2 linked regions of the Oryzias latipes genome follow. The protein of the gene in region 2 purifies or fractionates together with the protein of the main gene of each other region. This does not show direct contact. Links are inferred from orthologs where the notes say so. Each region holds a gene or a part of one and is shown on either strand. Other genes may lie near its edges.

What was found.
Region 1: the proteins of lin7c (region 2) and discs large homolog 1-like protein purify together in Homo sapiens (affinity purification with mass spectrometry; 4 studies listed by BioGRID and IntAct, counting the BioPlex papers as one, with this or other methods). This does not show direct contact. The link is inferred for Oryzias latipes from reciprocal best matches to the Homo sapiens genes LIN7C and DLG1.

Annotation. Positions count from the first base shown.
Region 1 is NC_019875.2:12,823,964-12,827,530, forward strand, and holds part of discs large homolog 1-like protein, read left to right. Parts: intron 1-2,006; coding exon 2,007-2,139; intron 2,140-2,553; coding exon 2,554-2,710; intron 2,711-3,567. UniProt on the Homo sapiens protein: Essential multidomain scaffolding protein required for normal development. Recruits channels, receptors and signaling molecules to discrete plasma membrane domains in polarized cells.
Region 2 is NC_019861.2:17,902,433-17,906,624, reverse strand, and holds the start of lin7c (protein lin-7 homolog C), read left to right. Parts: upstream 1-1,352; 5' UTR 1,353-1,526; coding exon 1,527-1,563; intron 1,564-2,607; coding exon 2,608-2,726; intron 2,727-2,810; coding exon 2,811-2,882; intron 2,883-2,991; coding exon 2,992-3,201; intron 3,202-4,192. UniProt on the Homo sapiens protein: Plays a role in establishing and maintaining the asymmetric distribution of channels and receptors at the plasma membrane of polarized cells.

The DNA of each region.
Region 1 (3,567 bases), on a different chromosome or scaffold from region 2:
CAACCCTCTTGAATTCTTCCCCTACCCCTACGGCTTCTCTCTGCCCCTACATTTAGCCCTTCAAGCGAAAGTTTATGGAAAAATAGTGTCTTCAAATTCGGACAACACTACCCCTGGATGGTCATCCGGTGTGCTACGTTATCGCGTAGCTGCCTGCTCTCAGAATGTACATAACATCGGGTTTTTAACTTAAAAAAGCCATGCTAATAATGCAAATAATAATAAAAAATATATGAATTAATAAAACACACAAATACCCAACACATACACATCCCAACATTAAAATCAAAACAAATCAAATTAGTTGTTTTATAAAATCAAGTAAAAACATGTGGACAAGTAAAAAGATGTGTTTTAAGTTTTTTCTTAAAAACCTCCACAGTGGCTGAAGGCAGGCAGGCTGTTCCACAGGCGAGGCCCACAGTGCTGAAAGGAGGCCTCGCTGTGGGTTTTAGTGTGGACCTGAGGGCTCTGGGAGGGTCATAGACTATAAGTAAATCTGATAAAAATGAGGATCCAGGTCCATGTAAACCTATATAAACTAATAAAAGAACCTTAAAAGCGATCCTAAAGCTGACTGGGAGCCAGTGCAAAGACTTCAAAATTGGAGTAATGTGCTCCTTCTTTCTGGTTCTAGTTAAAAGGCATGCAGCCGAATTTTGAACAAGCTGCAGTCGATTGAAAGTATTTCTCTTAACACCAGAAAGAAGAGCATTACAATAATTTATCCTAGATGTTATAAAGGGATGGAGTAATATTTCAGCACTGGCTTTAGAGAGAAAGGATCTCACTTGGGCAACATTTCTAAGGTGATAAAAGGCAGTCTTTGTAACTTGGTCTGCGTGTGATTCAAAAGAGAGGGTAAAGAGATTAAGTAGTGAGATTCCCTCTTGTTGAAGGACAACCTCTGGTTCCCCTTCTTGAAAGAGGGACCACCACCCTGATCTGCTAGATCAGAGGTCTCCAACTTCCAGGCAATGTCCTAAAGGAATGCCGTCAAAGACGCTCCCAAAACATCCAGAGACTTGAGGTAGTAAGGGTGGACCTCATCTGTCTCCAGTACCTTGCAACCGATGTGCTTTTTGACACTCTCCATTTGACTACAGCTTGGGGGACGGATTGGCCCACTTCTGGTTCCCCAGATACTATTTTCTTATGAAATCATGTCAACAGAATTAAGGAGATTCTTCCACCTCTCAGCATTTCCCTGTTCAAGGTCAACAGCTCCTCACCCACACTGTAGACGGTAGTGGCAGAGAACTGCTTGCTTCTCCTGAGAGTCTAGCCCTCTCAAAAGGTTGGGTTTTAGAGTCCAAACTTTGAAGAGGCGCATGCCCAACTATCTTTACCCAGGACCCTCACCCTTCTGCAACCTAAGGGTCCCTCCCACTTAGGGAGGTAACAGGCCATGTCCCGATGATTAGTCCATTTTTGAGGATTGGGTTGTTGCGGCACCAGCCCCTTGTAGACCTTCCTTGTGAGCTCGGGGGAAGGCCAACCCTAGGCTCGGTCCCGAGATAGACCCTTGGTGACGTGAACCTTGTATTCAGTATTTTTACGAAAGGATTTTTTCCATACAGTAGTAAAAAAAGCTTTTTGTTTCTTCCTTTGGTTGCACTTCCCTTTATTTATGTTTATTACTTATTTGTTTGACCTGTTTTTACATTATTCATCTGTTTTTCATCTTTCCCCAGTTTTTTTTTTTCAATCAAATGCATATCCAAAAAGGTATACAAAATGTTGTTGTTTAATTGACTGAAATGAAAAGCAAGGTTTTGAATCTTGGAATTGTGATTCTATAAGACAAAAAGGTTTGTTTGGAGTTTAAACTGCAGAGGATTCCTTTGGTGTTTCAGCTGGAGCTCACCTGTCTGCTGTAAACCGATCAGACCGTCTCCAGTTTCCTAGGTTCACTTTACCCCCTATTCTGCAGCTCCCATCTCATCCAAATGGGTGTTTCTACTGGCGCACACGTTTTTGGTTCACGAATGCTCTGTCTCTTCCAGCTTACTCACAGCACATGGAGAATCATATCAGCCCCCCCAATTTTGTAAGTCACCAGCTTCAACCACGAGGATCCTCGGGATGCTACTCGCCCACACCAATGAGCCCGCTAGCAGACGACGACGGTGTCACTCGGTGAGTACGGCAGAACACGCGCATAAATATTCATTCAAAATGGTTGATTGATTGATTCACAGATCATTCCCAATGTTTAGCTGTTTGTCCTAATGTTACCACCCTACAATTAAAGCCTCATTCAACCACCTCATCACAATTTATGCAAGAGAAAAATATCATCTGACTGCTACAGCTACTTTTTTCTTAACTGGTCTGGGTTTCTCTGTGATAGAAACATGAGGTGACCTTCAAAGTAATCTCTGCCTAAACAGACTCGGCTTCAGCTATAAAGGATTAAGACGACTATAATGTAACTGCAAGTGTGGGCTTTGTAACCCTCTGGCCTACTGGAGAGGAAGATGAGGCTGCATTCTTGATTTTTGTTTATTTTATTCTGACCTCCACAAATTTATAGCTATGGTTGCCCCACAGGGAGCCGAGGAAGGTGGTTCTGCACCGAGGGGCGACCGGACTGGGATTCAACATTGTGGGTGGCGAGGACGGAGAGGGCATCTTTATTTCCTTCATCTTAGCTGGGGGGCCAGCTGACCTTTCTGGAGAGCTGCGCAAAGGAGACCGGCTGGTATCTGTAGGTGTTTACACACCGTTATGCACCTTCAGGAACTTAAAAGCTCAAAAAGTACACTATGCATGATATAAACCCTTTGAGGTGGGATGTTCAGGCTGTTGCCTCAAATCTGTATCTCTGCTGATGGTAAAAATGTGACTTTTTGATGACAAAAAGACCAAATGTCAGCGTTAGATAAATTAACTGGTGTGTCATTTAAACTACAAACTTTGTAGCGCTGAATGTGGGATAGCCTATTTCTTTATAGTTGTTTCTTGTGTCAAACAAATTCACATTAGCAGAAAATAAGCTTTCTTTTTGTCATCTTTTGCTATGTCAACTTCTCTTTAAAACAATTACTGCAGGCATTTGTGTGTAAAGTTGTGCTTGTTTGCCTTTCAAACGTGCAAAATATAGACACTAAACATCGCCCACAACTTTGCTTTATGATTGTGTGCAACATCGTTTTTCTTTTAGCGTCTTCTTCTCCCAATTCTTTGTTCATTTCGCCAAAACCACTCTGTTTATTCATCGATTGGTAACACTATTCTGCTTGTTGAAAGGCCAGTAATGTGACAGTAATGGTTTTCACCTATCAAACTAAGATTTTCCCTTCGACAATTTGTTGAAGAACTTTCTTAAAAGATAATTTTTCATGCAAGACAAAAAAACAAGAATTTTTTGTTCAAACAAGGTTTTTTTTTTTTACTTTGTTTCGATTCAGGTTTTGCTGTGTACTGTCACTTTTTGCTTGCTTGGGGGGCTTTATCTGGCAACTCTTCCAAGTGGTGTTTTGATCCGTTACATAGGCTCACTCAGTTGTAGAGAGAGCGGGGATCAGGTGGAGGATCATCTAGAGAGAGGAAAGAAAGAACAGG
Region 2 (4,192 bases):
TCCAGCACAAAAGCGATTCTTGGCATCTTGATTAAAAGAGAGCAGCCGCTCTGTCAGTTTTTTTCCTCTGGCAGACGAGAAATCCCCGTTTACCAAGTATCAGCACCTTAGTTTAAAGCCACAGTGGGATAAACTAAATCACGTTGATCTCTGTATGACCAATTTAAAAAAAACTTTAAAATGCAGTTTTAAAAATGAATAGAAATCAGAAATTATCCTGAAGTATTTGATTTTACTTCTTCCTCAAACACATGGAGGTAAGTCAGGCATTTGATGGATCAAGGGCACACTGTTACAACATGGACCTTGGAGAGAAGGCTATCCAATAGAGAAGAGCAGAACTGAAGATTTTTGGTCGAGTCCAAAGAAAACCAATCAATTTAAGTGATAATTCTGAAGAAAAGAAGTCGGCGTGCTCATGAAGGAATTCCACAACATTTGTCATGTTCGTGCAGAAACACATCCTCAAGGACAAGAAGCAACAGTTTTTGGATTCTTTGTTGGTAAGGTAGACGGAGTTCTTCATTTGTGCTCAGTAGATGCCTTGGGCATTTTTGTTTAACAATGTACCAGCAAGCGGAAACTGACATGTATTAATTACACCCCATAAAGACAGGAAGGAAATCGTGCTTTATCAAGCCAGGTTCAAGCTCAGGTTTGCACAAAACAGTAAAAAAAAAATCAGTTTTCTAGCATCATGCATCATAAATAACTCTATTGTAAGATTGTATAGATTAAATACAGCTAAGATAGTAATGGAAATAAAAAGAATAAATCATTACTGCTACTACACCAGCTAAAGTTAGGTGAAAAGTGAACGATTTCAGCCCATAAAGGCCTGTAAAGCAGTACCTCACAGCTGATTAATGTCAAGAATGGAAGCAGTGCTGGAGGTTACCACTGGGGGGCAGTAGAGGGACATCAGGTCTCAGAATTTCACTGGCCGGTCTTCCTGCTCTGCCATTTACCCACCAAGCTTTGCTGTGCAGATGGACCTAACTCTTTAAATAAACGTTTCAGTCAGATTCACAGTTTATTCTGCACATATTTTATTATAAGAAATACATTTAGATTTGCAGCAATTGATTGTACTGATAAGAAGGGAGTGACTTTAAAACAAGAAGAAAGTAAACAAATAGCTCTCACCAAGAAAGTAAAGCAAATAGCTCTCAGCCATGGGTAATCCGGTACGTCTGTCTGTATATTAAATGTTATGTGGATTTTAAGTGGTCAATTGAACAAATTATGATATTTAAAACAAAATAATTAATCTACATATCATTTTATTTTAATCGATTAAAAGAAATTGATTTATGTCTGATATCGAGTGTGGTCAATCTGTTTTACGAGGTTCCTTTAACGCATCATGGCACTGGCATCTAGCCTAGCCTAGCTAACCTGGCTAATCTGATTTATCGTCTCAGTTAAGCGCAGGAAACGTGGGTCAGGATTACCAGTTTTAGTTATCCTAACTCGCTTTTTGTTGCTGTGTAGATTAAAGGTGCAATTTATTTATTACATCGAGAATGGCATCACTGGGGGAGCCTGTGCGACTGGAAAGGGGTAACGTTAATTGGCTAACTGGCTTTATTGTGAAACGAGATGGACACACCTAGCTTACATACATAGCATTGCTTGGTTAAAACAAATGGTGTTTTTCATGTTTTATTTGGATAACGTCTCGTTTAAAGTATGCTTTGGACCACAAGTGTTTTTATGTCGTCGAGTTACATTAACTATTGCTTAAGCGTTGTATTTGGTTTGCTCTTTTTAGCTAACAACAGAGATTGGCCAGCGCTCTCATTTGACTTCGGCGTCCTAATGTTGTATTTCATTTCTCTGACTTTTTGTTCGTTTTTAGAAAATAAAGATAAAATTAAGTAAAAACTGTCGATATTTTAGTTTTCATTGTGATCAAATCTAAAACATTTTAAAATTGGGTTTGAACGTGCCCATAAGTACTACTAATGTCGTCCTGAAATCACCTCGTTATTAACGTCGTTAAATGAAAAATATAGTTTTAAATAAAAATGGTTAGCAAGTAAGAATGACTTATCTAGTTGGCTTTAAGTAAACTTAGGCAAACGTTTATATTTTGTTGCAACTCTACTTTTGCCTTAATAATAAATACTAGCTTTAAATTGTTTCAAGAACATAAGGACAGAGTTAAACTGATACGTTTTTAACCAGTTATCAGTTCTATATTATTTACTAGTCTTTATGCATAATTTTATTTTTAATTGCTAACTTTGACAGATATCAGCATAAAAAAGTACGGTAACCGAGTTACAGGTACAGGTATTTGCAGTTCTGTTTTGATTGAGGGACCATATTTAATTTTTATAAATTAGAGGTTGGTTTCTTTTTTTTCCCTCCTTTTATTTATTTATTTATTATCAATATTTTTTATATATTTTTTACCATCAGTCTTTGTGGCTGTTAAGGAGTGGCTTTTGTAAAAATGGAAACCACTGTGTGGGTATCTTGTGTGATAGATCGTAGCTGATTAAAGTGGAGTTCCTGATTTGGACAGTAATAGGAGAAATAAAAACTATTGTTGTTGAGACTTGAAATCTGTGAACGTGCTGTACATGTTGTTCCTTGTAGATATCAACCGAGCCATTGAACTTCTGGATAAGCTTCAAAGGACAGGGGAGGTTCCTCCTCAGAAGCTGCAGGCTCTGCAAAGGGTCTTGCAAAGTGAATTCTGCAATGCTGTCAGAGAAGTGAGACATTGCCATCACTTGTCTTTTTTTCTCCCCTATTATCAAGATTTTTTTGTTCATTTTATGTATTTCATGTATGCTTAGGTATATGAGCATGTGTACGAAACTGTGGACATCAACAGCAGTCCTGAGGTCAGAGCCAACGCCACAGCTAAGGTTTAATCTCTCTTTCTTTTATTTAGGTTCACTATGTTTCCTTAAAGAAGATGTGTTTGAACGGTTGGTATTGTGTCTTGAGGACTAAATAACACTTTCCTATTTGCAGGCTACAGTGGCAGCTTTTGCAGCAAGTGAGGGACACTCGCATCCGCGCGTGGTGGAGCTGCCCAAAACAGAAGAGGGTCTGGGCTTTAACATAATGGGTGGCAAGGAGCAAAATTCTCCAATTTACATTTCCCGGATTATCCCAGGAGGCATTGCTGATCGACATGGAGGTCTCAAAAGAGGCGACCAGCTGCTCTCTGTCAATGGCGTGGTAGGTTCATATTAAAGAAGTCCAACTGTGGTTCTAGAATAACACTAAAAAGGTTTGTTTGTATTATTCTGTGCAGCAACTTAGAGAACAATCTAAAACTATCAAAAACCTTAATTTAGTGGCCTATGCACAGGTTTAGGTATTTATAATATAATCTAGTGGATCATTACTTTATTTAACCGAATTAAAATCCATTGAGAACAATATATCTTTTTCACAGCTGACCAGCAGCAAACATTAAAAGTAGTTAAAACAGAGAAAAAGGACAATAAAAGTCCAGTTTTCAAATAAAATGTAAAAAAGTGTGTTCATAAAACAGGTGTTAAGGGTAAAATTGATACAAATCAGAACAGTGACAAATTGGAAACATTAGAAACATAAACTAGCATAACAAATTAGACACAGTTTATATTTAAAGCAAATATTAACAACCAAGCCATGATAATCTTTTTACACATCAAAGTAGACCATTTTGAATAAATAGCTTTGTGAATCTGCAGTTGTGTTTTTCACCTCTGAAAGTACTGACCTAGTGTTGCTTTATCTTTTCTCTACATTTCTATGACAGTAATTATCTAAAAATCATGAACCTTTTTTGTGCCTATTAGCTTTTAAAGTCTCTGTTGGAGCCATTTGTCTGAGTTTAGGTTATTTACTAGATTTCGTGCATGCATGCGCCTGTCATTCCTTGGCCATGCAGCTGATCTGGCTTCCTATTGGTTAGGTGCATTTTGGGAGCTGCCGTGTCTTTTATTGGCATTTGCTTTTTGGATTTTGAACTTGGGAAGCACGGCAGCACATTAATCTTAGACCGTGTTTAGAACATGTTATTGTCATAGTTAAGACGTGTTCATGCGCTTGAAAAGTATTTTTTGTGGTTTGTACTTTATATTTTTATTGTTCAGTAAGGTGCAAGAAAATAAATTACATAAAAGGAAGAACAACTTTTTTTTATGAAGCACGCATTAAGACAGTTCCAGCTCCCCAAGAT